Linked DNA regions of Macaca mulatta. The protein of the gene in region 1 binds, or shares a complex with, the protein of each later gene. Links are inferred from orthologs where the notes say so. Each region holds a gene or a part of one and is shown on either strand. Other genes may lie near its edges.

What was found.
Region 2: the proteins of KDM4A (region 1) and H1-4 are in contact, whole or in part, in a crystal structure (PDB 6H8P), measured with the Homo sapiens proteins. The link is inferred for Macaca mulatta from reciprocal best matches to the Homo sapiens genes KDM4A and H1-4. Residues at the interface, in NP_055478.2 of Homo sapiens: Ile71, Asn86, Ala134, Asp135, Asn137, Thr167, Ile168, Glu169, Gly170, Val171, Tyr175, Tyr177, Glu190, Asp191, Ser196, His240, Lys241, Ser288, Thr289, Asn290, Asp311, Met312, Val313; in NP_005312.1 of Homo sapiens: Ala24, Arg25, Lys26, Ser27, Ala28, Gly29.

Annotation. Positions count from the first base shown.
Region 1 is NC_133406.1:197,014,179-197,019,780, forward strand, and holds the start of KDM4A (lysine-specific demethylase 4A), read right to left. Parts: upstream 3,463-5,602; 5' UTR 3,344-3,462; intron 3,092-3,343; exon of another isoform or gene 3,048-3,091; intron 620-3,047; 5' UTR 581-619; coding exon 443-580; intron 96-442; exon of another isoform or gene 1-95. UniProt on the Homo sapiens protein: Histone demethylase that specifically demethylates 'Lys-9' and 'Lys-36' residues of histone H3, thereby playing a central role in histone code. Does not demethylate histone H3 'Lys-4', H3 'Lys-27' nor H4 'Lys-20'.
Region 2 is NC_133409.1:156,951,762-156,957,394, reverse strand, and holds the start of H1-4 (histone H1.4), read left to right. Parts: upstream 1-2,035; 5' UTR 2,036-2,098; coding exon 2,099-2,758; 3' UTR 2,759-3,792; coding exon of another isoform or gene 3,793-4,173; 3' UTR 4,174-4,182; intron 4,183-4,479; 3' UTR 4,480-5,633. Other genes in the region: H2BC5 (histone H2B type 1-D), read left to right, coding at 3,793-4,173. UniProt on the Homo sapiens protein: Histone H1 protein binds to linker DNA between nucleosomes forming the macromolecular structure known as the chromatin fiber. Histones H1 are necessary for the condensation of nucleosome chains into higher-order structured fibers.

The DNA of each region.
Region 1 (5,602 bases):
GGACCAGAATACTCATGTTGGCTGGCCAGTGCATTCTCTCCCCTTGAAGAAAGTCCACATGGGAAGCCAAATTGCTACTAGAGTGCTGGATGAGACTGAAATGAGAGCAAGAGAAGTCAGATGGCATAAGCACTCACTGGTAGTTCAATAACACTACTGCACCCAGCTCCACCAAGAGGGCTGAGGCACAACAGCAGCCAGGCCTGGAGACACTAGCTCTTTACCTCCCCCTTTCTGAAGATTCCAAGTAGCTCTCTTCCTACCTAAAAGCAGAGATGCTTCTGATGTTAACAACGGGAATTAACTTGCAAATAGAACTGCATTCACTAAAGTCATCACCCCACCCAACTTTCAGTAAAACACAGTTCTGGCCCTTATTTAGGAAAAAAATCTTACTGCTGCCCTAGGTAACAAAACCATCTGAACAATCCCAGCTCCTTACCTTGGCCAGCCCTGCCCGATGAGCTCCTTGGGATTCAATGTAGGCAATGTATCTACTGAAGTTTCGGAACTCTTCCATAGTTGGATAAAAGGTCATTATCCTAGCACTGGGATTCAGAGTTTCAGACTCAGAAGCCATTTTCCCTCCTTTTTGAGGTCCCTTTAGTCAGACAGGAATCTGAAGAAACACATTAAGAGCATAAAATAATATAAAAATTAAAATTAAGTGCTGGAAACATCAATGCTGAAAACAGTAAAAGATAATATAGAAATTCAGAAGATGCAGTTAAGACTTCACACCTGGAATCTGCCTCTAGAAAAGTTATTTAGGGGCGAGGAACAGTGGCTCACGCCTGTAATCCCAGCTACTCGGGAGGCTGAGGCTGGAAAATCGCTTGAACCCGGGAGGCTGAGGCTGCAGTGAGCCAACATTGTGCCATTGCACTCCAGATTGGGCAACAAGAGCAAAACGCCGTCTCAAACAAAAAAAAAAAAAAAGGAAAGAAAAGTTATTTAGGGTGGGGCTGTGGTGGCTCAAGCCTGTAATCCCAGCACTTTGGGAGACAGAGGTGGGCGGATCGCTTGAATTCAGGAGTTTGAGATTAGACTGGGCAACATAGTGAGACCCTGTCTCAAAAAATTTTAAAACATCACAACAAGAAGTGATTTAAATAAACTAGAAATACAGATCGAAAAGGTTCTGTTTAAAAAGAAAGTGATGTATCAAAACTGCATGGATTCAAACCTTATTTCAACAGAGATATTGTTATTGCAACAGGATTGCTCTTGAAAAAAAAAAACAAACAAAATTGTTCAGCTAAAAAAAGGAAATTAATTTGGTTATTGGTCCTATCTAATAGTACAGCTAAAATGTCCATATTTTACCCTTATCCTTTCAAGCTACTCCCTTATTAACACCTTGCTAATCACTTTTCAGAGTATTAAACATAATATACTACAACTTGAAAGCCACGCACAGCTGGGTGTGGTGGCTCACGCCTGTAATCCCAGCACTTTGGGAGGCCAAAGCTCCTTCCTAGGGCACAGCTAAACCGGATACCTAATAAAAGTTAAGTGGCTACAAGATAACAAAACTTAAGGGTTCAAAAGTACTTTGATATTAGTAACATGATTTTAAAACCTTTGATATTAGTAACATAATTTTAAAACCCTAAAGTGAAACTGTTCTATCTAAACTAAGATGCAGTTTCAGGAGTACTTAATGAAATCAAGTTACAAACAAGTTCCATTGCACTGTACCCAGAACTCAAAGGACAAAATTTAAACTAGCAATACAGGGCAAACTTCATAACTGACTAGAGAAAGCCAAATAAATACTTTGTTTTTAGATGAGAACTTCAGCTAAATGGGTGCATCCCCACAGCTCGGTAACACAATAGACCATCTCAACTGAAAAAAGACAAAGCATACCAGTGAAAACAGGCCATTCTAGAAGGAACACTAGTATGTCCTTTCCTTTACCCACCCTCCTCACTCAGGGTGCAGCAGCAGTTCTGTACCCCGCTATCTGGGGCCCAAAGCTATGGCGGTTCAGCTCCAAGAGTCTCTTTGAGAGCTGGAGAGCTCAGAAAGGAGAAAACTGCCTCCAATCTACCAGAAATCTGGTTACAGCCCTGGGAGCAGAACTGTGTAAGGTAGGAGAGAAGGCAAATCCAGTTACCCGTATCTCCTAGGCTTCCTTTCCATCGAAAATAAGGCGTGTTTCTAAACAGGCGCTTTTCATGAACCTGGCAGAAAGTTTGCATGGCAGGTATACTGTTATCCCTGTTTTACATACCAGGAAATTTGCCCACAGCCCACTCTTAAGTGCACCTTCCACTGCCCTATACTGCTTACATCCTCATCTCCATCTGGATTAAGTCCTTTGCAAGGGCAGTTCCAAGTATGGAGAAACCCGAAGTTTATTTAATTTTGAAGACCCTCTTAAAAAGAAAAATGAATCCAAAATATCTTACTTTTGCAAATTTTATAAAAACATACAGTCATGTGAATACAATGTTGGGGCCCTTCCCCGGGCCTTCAAAGGGGCCCTAATGGGCTTCATCAGCCTCTGGCCCAATTCATCTTTGTATGCCTAGAACAATGCATGGCACAGAGTAGGCAATCGGTAACTGTTGAAAAACTGATTTCCTCACCCTCACCTCAATTGTTCATCCCTTCTTCAACCCTACGATTCCCTTCCCCCAATCTATTCCCTGGGGAAAGCTCCCGTTTCATGACACCTTCCCTCCCAATCAGTAACAAAGCCTAGTGATTCAAGAACACCGGCTCCAAAGTCACAACTCTGAATACAGATCCGGTCTCTGCCGTCTATTAGCTGTGTGACCTTGGCTGTGTGAGTTGACTGAGTCTCAGTTTCTCCACCTGTAAAATGGGGATCCCAACCCCCTGCCCTGCAGGGTCGCTGTGATTAGCTCAGATGATGCAAGCGAAACACTAAGCACTAGGCCCGGTACTTAACCACTCAATAAAGCTAGTTGTTGCTAACGAACCCCTCGGACTCCTGCACCCTTCCCTCGCAGCCGCTCCCGCGAACATCACTCCAAAGGCAGCGCACCCTGCTCCCCAAGGTCCCCGAACCTCACCGCGCACAGGTTCGGCCCCTCCCGGCCCCGCCGCCTTAGCGAGTAAAGCTCCGCCGCAGGAAGAAGAAAATAAGGCCCAGAGGACCCGCCCCCCTCTCCCGACGTCCATTGGCCCTGAAGATTGGAAAAGGCCAATCTCAGAACACATTCTGGAAGCTCCTTCTCCTATTGGCCGAGAAACATGCCGATCACTCACCGCTGGAAGAACCACCCCCACCGCCCCTCCCCCACAAAATTCACGGTCACGGCTACAGCAGCAAAGCGCCTCAAGAATTCCAAAACCCTATAGTTCTCACCTACAGCCCAAAGCCCCGCCAGGGCTTAGGCTCAGCTCCTGCTGTCGCCACTGGCCGATCCTACTGCTTTTCCAGCAGGCGAAGGACGAAACTCCGCCTCCTCTAAAGTCTGCATCTGCGCAGCCGCACAGAGTCAACCAATTCAAGGGTGGCTGCAAACCATACACCAGCCAATGAGCACGCGCCGCAGCCACCTCCCAGTCCCGACCTCAGTGTGCTCAGCCTATGAGCGCCGGCTCGGGCTGTTGCCAGGAGGAAACGCTGTACCACTCGGGACTGCGGCCAGTGAGCCTCTAGCTGGATCGCGAAGCTGGCCAATCATAGGCGGGCTCCTGGCCACCCATAACTAATCAGGGTTGAAAGAAGCTAGTACCTAGAAGTGGGCCGGTCGGGTAGATGGGTAAGGGCGGTGAGGTTACTACAGGATGTCGCTAACGAAAGGATGGGCCAAAGTTTTCTTGGGATGAGTATCCTCTTGGCCTAACGTGGAAATGTGTCGGGGCCTTTAGGGGCAGCTTCCGAGCTCAGGGAGTGCTGAAAAGATGACCGTCTTGTCCCGGTTTGTCTTGGGCGTCTCAGTTTTCAAAACAAAATCCTGCGTCCTTGGAAACCCCTCATTCGCTGTCAAGTCTGGACAGGGAAGGGAGGCTGCCCTGAGGGTCATTAGGACAGACCCTGAGGGAGGCTGTCCTTAGGGTCATTAAAAAGCAGTTCCTGGCCGGGCGTGGTCGCTCACGCGCGTAATTCCAGCACTTTGGGAGGCCGAGGCGGGCAGATCACCTGAAACCGGCAGTTTGAGACCGGCCTGACAAACATGGAGAAACCCCCGTCTCTACTAAAAAAAAAAAAAAAAAAAAAAAATACAAAATTAGCCGGGCGTGGTGGTGCATGCCTGTAGTCCCAGCTACTCGGGAGGCTGAGGCATTAGAATCGCTTGAACCCGGGAGGCGGAGGTTGCGGTGAGCCGAGATCGAGCCATTGCACTCCAACCTGGGCAACAAGAGTGAAACTCCGTCTCAAAAAAAAAAAAAAAAAAATCATTTCCTCAGTGAGCGGGGATTTGGGGGATCATTAGGAGCAGCTCTTGGGGCGGAGAGGGGGGCATCCTGGGAATCAGAAGAGGCACTTCTGGGGGGCTGGAGGGGGAGGGGGCTTCCTAGAATCATTAGGAGCGATTCCTGAGGGGTAGTGAGTCGCCTTAAGGAGTTCCCAGAATTGTCAAGGGTGATGGGGAAGGTCAAGTAGGAAAGTAAAATACCCACAACCAGAGTCATAAAAAATGTACAAAATTACCATGGGTGAGTAATGGGGTAGTGCCATGGAAAGAGCTATATGGAGTCAGGCCTGTGTTCAAAACTAGTAACTTTGCTGAGCCTGGGAGTTCACATCAATACAATGGAAAAAATAATGCCTCGCGGATTTTGTAAAGAGAAGAGTTAATGAATGTTGCCAAAAAGAACATATTACATAGAATGCTATGGACTTACGGTATGGACCAATCATCATTTCTGCATCAGGCTGGGTACATGCCTACTGAAAAAAAAAAGTGTTAAAAAAAAAGTTTCAAAAACAGAAATGACTGTTTCAAAAAGAATGGCCGTTGGCTACACAGCCACAAGTCTTTCACAACAATTACAGGGTTTTTCTCCCTTACCCAGTAAGGTAATCGACAGTATTAGATAATAGATTATACTGAGTAGCTCACAAAAGTGCCGAGTCTGAAGAATCCAACTTACAGGACACATAAAGAAAACCGGTAGAATTCATCCACCACCGTCTTTGCTGCTGCCACTAAGCACAAGATATTGCAGGTTGCTTCACAGACTCCACTGTCCTGTACACGGATACAGTCGCTAGCACTACTGTTACTGTGTTCCATAAACTGGATTTTGCTGTATTTCCCGGTGCTGCCAGATGATTTCCAAGGCCCCTCTACTGTGTATCACTAGCTTCTAATTGGTATGTGCACGTGATAGGTAGAGCCTAAATCAAGTTCTCATGATATGCTCCCATTTTTCTGACCAGTTTTCCTGTTTCCTTTTTTTTTTTTTTTTTTTTTTTTTAATGAGACAGAGTCTCACTCTGTTGCCCAGGCTAGAGTGCAGTGGAGCGATCTTGGCTCACTGCACGCTCCGCCTCCCGGGATCACACCATTCTCCTGTCTCAGTCTCCCCAGTTGCTGGGACTACAGGCGCCCGCCACCACACCCGGCTAATTTTTTTGTATTTTTAGTAGAGACAGGGTTTCATTGTGTTAGCC
Region 2 (5,633 bases), on another chromosome or scaffold:
AGACTCTGTCTCAAAAAAAAAAAAAAAAAAAGAGAGAAAGAAAAGAAAACACACCACAGTGTAAGGGGGCAAGCAGTGGAAACTGAAAGACCACAGAATTTGGAGTTTAACTCCTTCCTAGCCATGAGGAATACACTGGATAAAGTGAGGCATGTGAAAGCAAACTTCCATGTGTTGTGTAACTTTCAGCCATTTACAGGAGTGGTTTTTGTTGTCATTAAATAGGTATAATGTTACCATTCTGGAATCAAATGCCCATATAATCAGTTTCCCTAGTATGTTTTGGAGATTTATCCATCTCCCTTTTTATTTCAATAAACACCAAAGGACATATTTACTTTTGCACTGCTGTGCAATAATTAAATTTTATTTATTTACACATGAAGATATTAAAAACATTGATAATTTACATCACTTTTATACCAAATTCAACATTAAACAGTATTGTGTTGACACATTTCACTCGTGTTATATCAAAATTCTATATTCTCTTTATTTCAGTAGCAGAATTTTTGTCTGGAGATTTTGGGCAATGAAATTAACATTTAAAGTGATATCCAACGCCATATTACAATCAGCCACGTCCACAGAACAGTATCATATCAACTTATAGCATTGGGCAAAATTTTATTTTGTTTCCATGATAAGTGGCTTGTAGTTCCACCCATACTGTTCCAGCCATACCGTTATTCAGAAATAATTCTTTTAGTTGGGCTTTCATTGCCAACCTACATACACTCTTCTTGGTTGGGCAACTACCTAAAGAGATTTACTCAGACATTGTTCAAAGGATGTTTTCAGAGGGCAATGATTTATAATAGCTTAGATAGACTCTCAAAGCTCTGCTTCTGAGATCGAAATTTGAACTTGTCATTTAATCACTACATGTCACTTATTTTTCTTTCTATTGCGCTCTGCGAAGCGTTGGGATACAGTCTTCAGGGGGATTGAAACCATACATGGTGAGTGGACTAGTCATTCCTCAACTATTCAGTAATAATAGCGGCTGGGCTTCTCTAATAATGGGAGTACATATGTTTCAATATACAGTTCTTATTTATTTTCCCTTATTATCAATGTTTGAATTCCAGCTCTAAGCTACTTTATTGCAATTTGGTTCTGAAGCATATGCCAAAAGCACTCAGCAAGGCTGCAGACAAATGCTTTAAAGAAAAGTGCACCTCCACTTCCAGTGACTTTATGAACATCACATTCGAAAATTAATCTTTTTTCAACTCTGTACCCTGAGTATATTTTGGACTTCCCTTCGTTCCCAAATACCCTGAATTCAAGGTATCTCAATCCATGGAGCAGTTGTCCAGAGAAGAGAGAAGCAACAGCCCCGCCCCCAACCCTTGGGAGCAGAAAGGGAAAGAATTATCCAAAGGAATTGTTTTAAAACTCAGATATAGCGGACAGATGTAAAACCACGGCTGCATAGATTGATGTCCCAGGGGTCCAAAACTTAATGTCAAATGAGGAATAATTTGTTTAGCATTAAACTAAACCAGTTTGATGAACTCAAATGCCCTCGGCTCAATAGGCAGGACTCTCCGAGGAGCCTGTGTTACTTCCCTCACTTAAGTGCAGATTTGTAATAAAAATCTTAATGCCAGTGGCATGCTTTTTGGATATATCAGAAGCTAACCACTTGGAGAATCATATTTGAGAGGTCAGAAAACTCCACAGTTAAAGATCGGTTTATAATTTACGAAGAAAATAGAAAGTTTTGTTTCTCTGAGTTGAAATTTGCCAAGCACGGCGGGAAATATTGCAAGTTTTTGGCACAAGGCTTTGTGCTTTCCTCATAATTTGAGATCTGCGTGAAGCCTGAGGGTTCGGGGATCATTATCTGAGAAAAACCGGGTAGTTCGGTGCAGACAATTTTTATATTTTTGGCTTTTTTTGAGGTGTAACAAACACAACTCGGGATCCGAGAGGACACTCTGCGGCTGCCAGCGAGGCGGGCTGGACAGCGCACCAATCACGGCGCAGCTCCGCCCTATATAAACGGGCGGGCGCAGCGCCGCGGCCCGAGTCCCGGCCAGTGCCTCTGCTTCCGGCTCGAATTGCTCTCTCTCTCACGCCTGCCTTCAACATGTCCGAGACTGCGCCTGCCGCGCCCGCTGCTCCGGCCCCAGCCGAGAAAACACCCGTGAAGAAGAAGGCTCGCAAGTCCGCAGGTGCGGCTAAGCGCAAAGCGTCTGGGCCCCCCGTGTCCGAGCTCATTACTAAGGCTGTTGCCGCCTCCAAGGAGCGCAGCGGTGTATCTTTGGCCGCTCTCAAGAAAGCGCTGGCAGCCGCTGGCTATGACGTGGAGAAGAACAACAGCCGCATCAAGCTGGGTCTCAAGAGCCTGGTGAGCAAGGGCACTCTGGTGCAGACCAAGGGCACCGGCGCATCGGGTTCTTTCAAACTCAACAAGAAGGCGGCCTCCGGGGAAGCCAAGCCTAAAGCTAAAAAGGCAGGCGCGGCCAAAGCCAAGAAGCCTACAGGAGCGGCGAAGAAGCCCAAGAAGGCGACGGGGGCAGCCACCCCTAAGAAGAGCGCCAAGAAGACCCCAAAGAAGGCGAAGAAGCCGGCTGCGGCTGCTGGAGCCAAAAAAGCGAAAAGCCCGAAAAAGGCTAAAGCAGCCAAGCCAAAAAAAGCGCCCAAGAGCCCAGCGAAGGCCAAAGCAGTGAAACCCAAGGCGGCTAAACCAAAGACCGCCAAGCCCAAGGCAGCCAAGCCAAAGAAGGCGGCAGCCAAGAAAAAGTAGGAAGTTCCTTTGGCCAACTGCTTAGAAGCTCAACACAACCCAAAGGCTCTTTTCAGAGCCACCCACCGCTTTCAGTAAAAGAGCTGTTACACTATCAGGGGGTGTGGCCGGGAAAACGCCGCTATTGAGGGGCGGGTCTCCCGGGAACAAAGTCGGGAGAGAGGAGCCGTTTTTGGCCAGGGGGTCATTTCGCGTTCCGTCGGCCAAGCAGGAGTGCAGCCGCGTCATTGAGCTTTTATTGCGTTTTCGAATACTGGAGTTAAAACCCATTTCGACCTCCGTAGTACTTAACACTTAGCGAGATCTGGCCTGCAAATAGCATGGGAAAAAAAGTCGGGATTTTCGCGGGCTTCTAGGCTGGGACGTATGAGTTCCGAATAGAGAACACTCAATTTCCGTGCTGGCTCCCTACAGACTATGGCAAGCAATGAAGGAGTGCAGAGGAGTACGTCTCGACACAGGTGGCATAGTACACTATTTCAACCACTGCCACAACTAAAAATTAGAAATTGACACTGCAGAAAATACTTGGTCCTTAAATGTAGCATTTGCATAGATGACTTCCCAAACGCAAAACTGCCAGACTTCCAGGGATATCCCAATTACCATGACTTCTGTATGCAACGAGTCCTATAATTTGTTAGAGGAAGAAAAGAGAACGTGAGCTCTCCTAAAGTATCTTTCAGTATACGTTCTGACACCACAACGCTAATAAAAAGTGTGATCTCAAAAACAACTGCTCCAAGAGAAGTGCACAGCTGACTTGTCTAAAGACGACTATTTATAGTAGCCTCGGGTAGTCTGGTCTGGGCTTTCTGATTGGGTAAAAGTAAAGTAATGAAATAGCCAATGAAAAGGTAGACTTTTAAGTGTCGTTTACATTGGCATTTGTGACGACACACAAAAATTAATCCAATCATAAACGAAATCTGATTAACCTCATTTGAATACCGCATCTATAAATGAACGGGGCATCGGTGGGAGTGATTATTTTCTCAGGTGTTTGCGACAGTGTTGTAATTATTAACGTTGCTATGCCTGAGCCTACCAAGTCTGCTCCTGCCCCAAAGAAGGGCTCCAAGAAGGCGGTGACTAAGGCGCAGAAGAAGGACGGGAAGAAGCGCAAGCGCAGCCGCAAAGAGAGCTATTCCGTGTATGTGTACAAGGTGCTGAAGCAGGTCCACCCCGACACCGGCATCTCTTCCAAGGCTATGGGGATCATGAATTCCTTCGTCAACGACATCTTCGAGCGCATCGCCGGCGAGGCTTCCCGCCTGGCGCACTACAACAAGCGCTCGACCATCACTTCCAGGGAGATCCAGACGGCCGTGCGCCTGCTGCTTCCGGGGGAGCTGGCCAAGCACGCCGTGTCGGAGGGCACCAAGGCCGTCACCAAGTACACCAGTTCCAAGTAACTTTGCCAAGTAAGCATCTTTACACCTAATCCCAAAGGCTCTTTTAAGAGCCACGCATGTTTTCAGTAAATGAGTTGTAATTTCATTCAAAAGGGGGATTATTGGATTTCTCAGCACCATACTACCAATCTTTAATGTTATGTTAGTACTGCAGAGGAAATACTTGGAAATTATAGGTAGTAACAATAGGTACCAGAAGTTGAGTGCTATGGGCACATACTAGATCATTAGCTCATTTAGTGTCAGATAACACTAACATAAACTGAAAGTACTGTAAGTGTACAGCTCTTTCGTTTCCGTGTGCAGATTTCCAAGTTGATCGTGATGTTGATCTGGGACTTCGTGTGGTGACGGCCCACCCTGAACACAAAAGAGCACCCTTTTGCAACTTCCTTCTGTTTGGAGCTTTCTCCACCATCACCCCCGCCCCCCGTTTTCTTGTAAAATTTTTACCATGCAGATACGTGATAACTGCAAGTAAAGGCTGAAGACAATGTGAGCTGAACACGGAAGTATTACAAAGGTTTCTGGTTTGCTTTGTAATTGGGCCAGTTTCTCTCTGAAGCTCTTAGGCGAGTAGGGGAGGAAAAGGCGGATCCTAGGCGCTGAGGTGCAGGAAAAAAGAAGCAACTTCTGAGACACCTTAAAATTATTTTGCTAAACCGTCTTTTTCAGAAAGCTATTTAATTTATAGTTTTCTTTTGGCAGCTTTCAGGTTAAAAGTTCACTAGGTAATGGCAGAAACCCAAATAGTCATTAAGGTGTCTGACTGCAGGTAGGCAATAGTTACCGCAGGACTGAAGCCCCCTTTGCAGTACAATTTACCCTTTCCTAGATGCCCCTTAGTACCTAGGACTGGATAAGGTAGAAAGGGAAAGAAAACTTCCTTCTGGCAGGATGTAGCTTCTGCTGCACAAGATAGAATGATGACAAAAGGTTTTCACTGCTGGAGAATGGATGATTGTGGGAGAAAAAGAATCTCAGAAGAGTGGAGAGGGAACAAGGAGGGAGTGGCCATAAGGAAAGGAACCAATATTTACCACGTGAAAATTGTGAGATGGATGAGGCTAGGTTTGAAGTCAAATGTTAGCTGAGATGGAGAACTTAAGTGGTGGATGATCATTGTCTAAAAGACGAATGAGTTTAGAAGTTCATTGTCATGCCCTCAATGTCCTCATGCCCTCATAAACAAACATGAAATCTTGGATTATGGGATACATTTTCCATAACGTGGCAAGCTTGGTACTTGAACGGATAACTAAAAACCTGAATAACAGTTTCTAAATTCTTAAAAGTAACAAAGAGGGTCTAAAAAAGTAAAGAGAAATCAGAGCCAGGGATTTGGCCCATGTTAAACCCCAAGCACTACAGCTGGCTTTTACCCAACCCTTAACTTTCATTTTTAGGGTGTTATATGGAAACCGACCAGGGTATATAGGGCCTGATAAGAGATCTTTTTA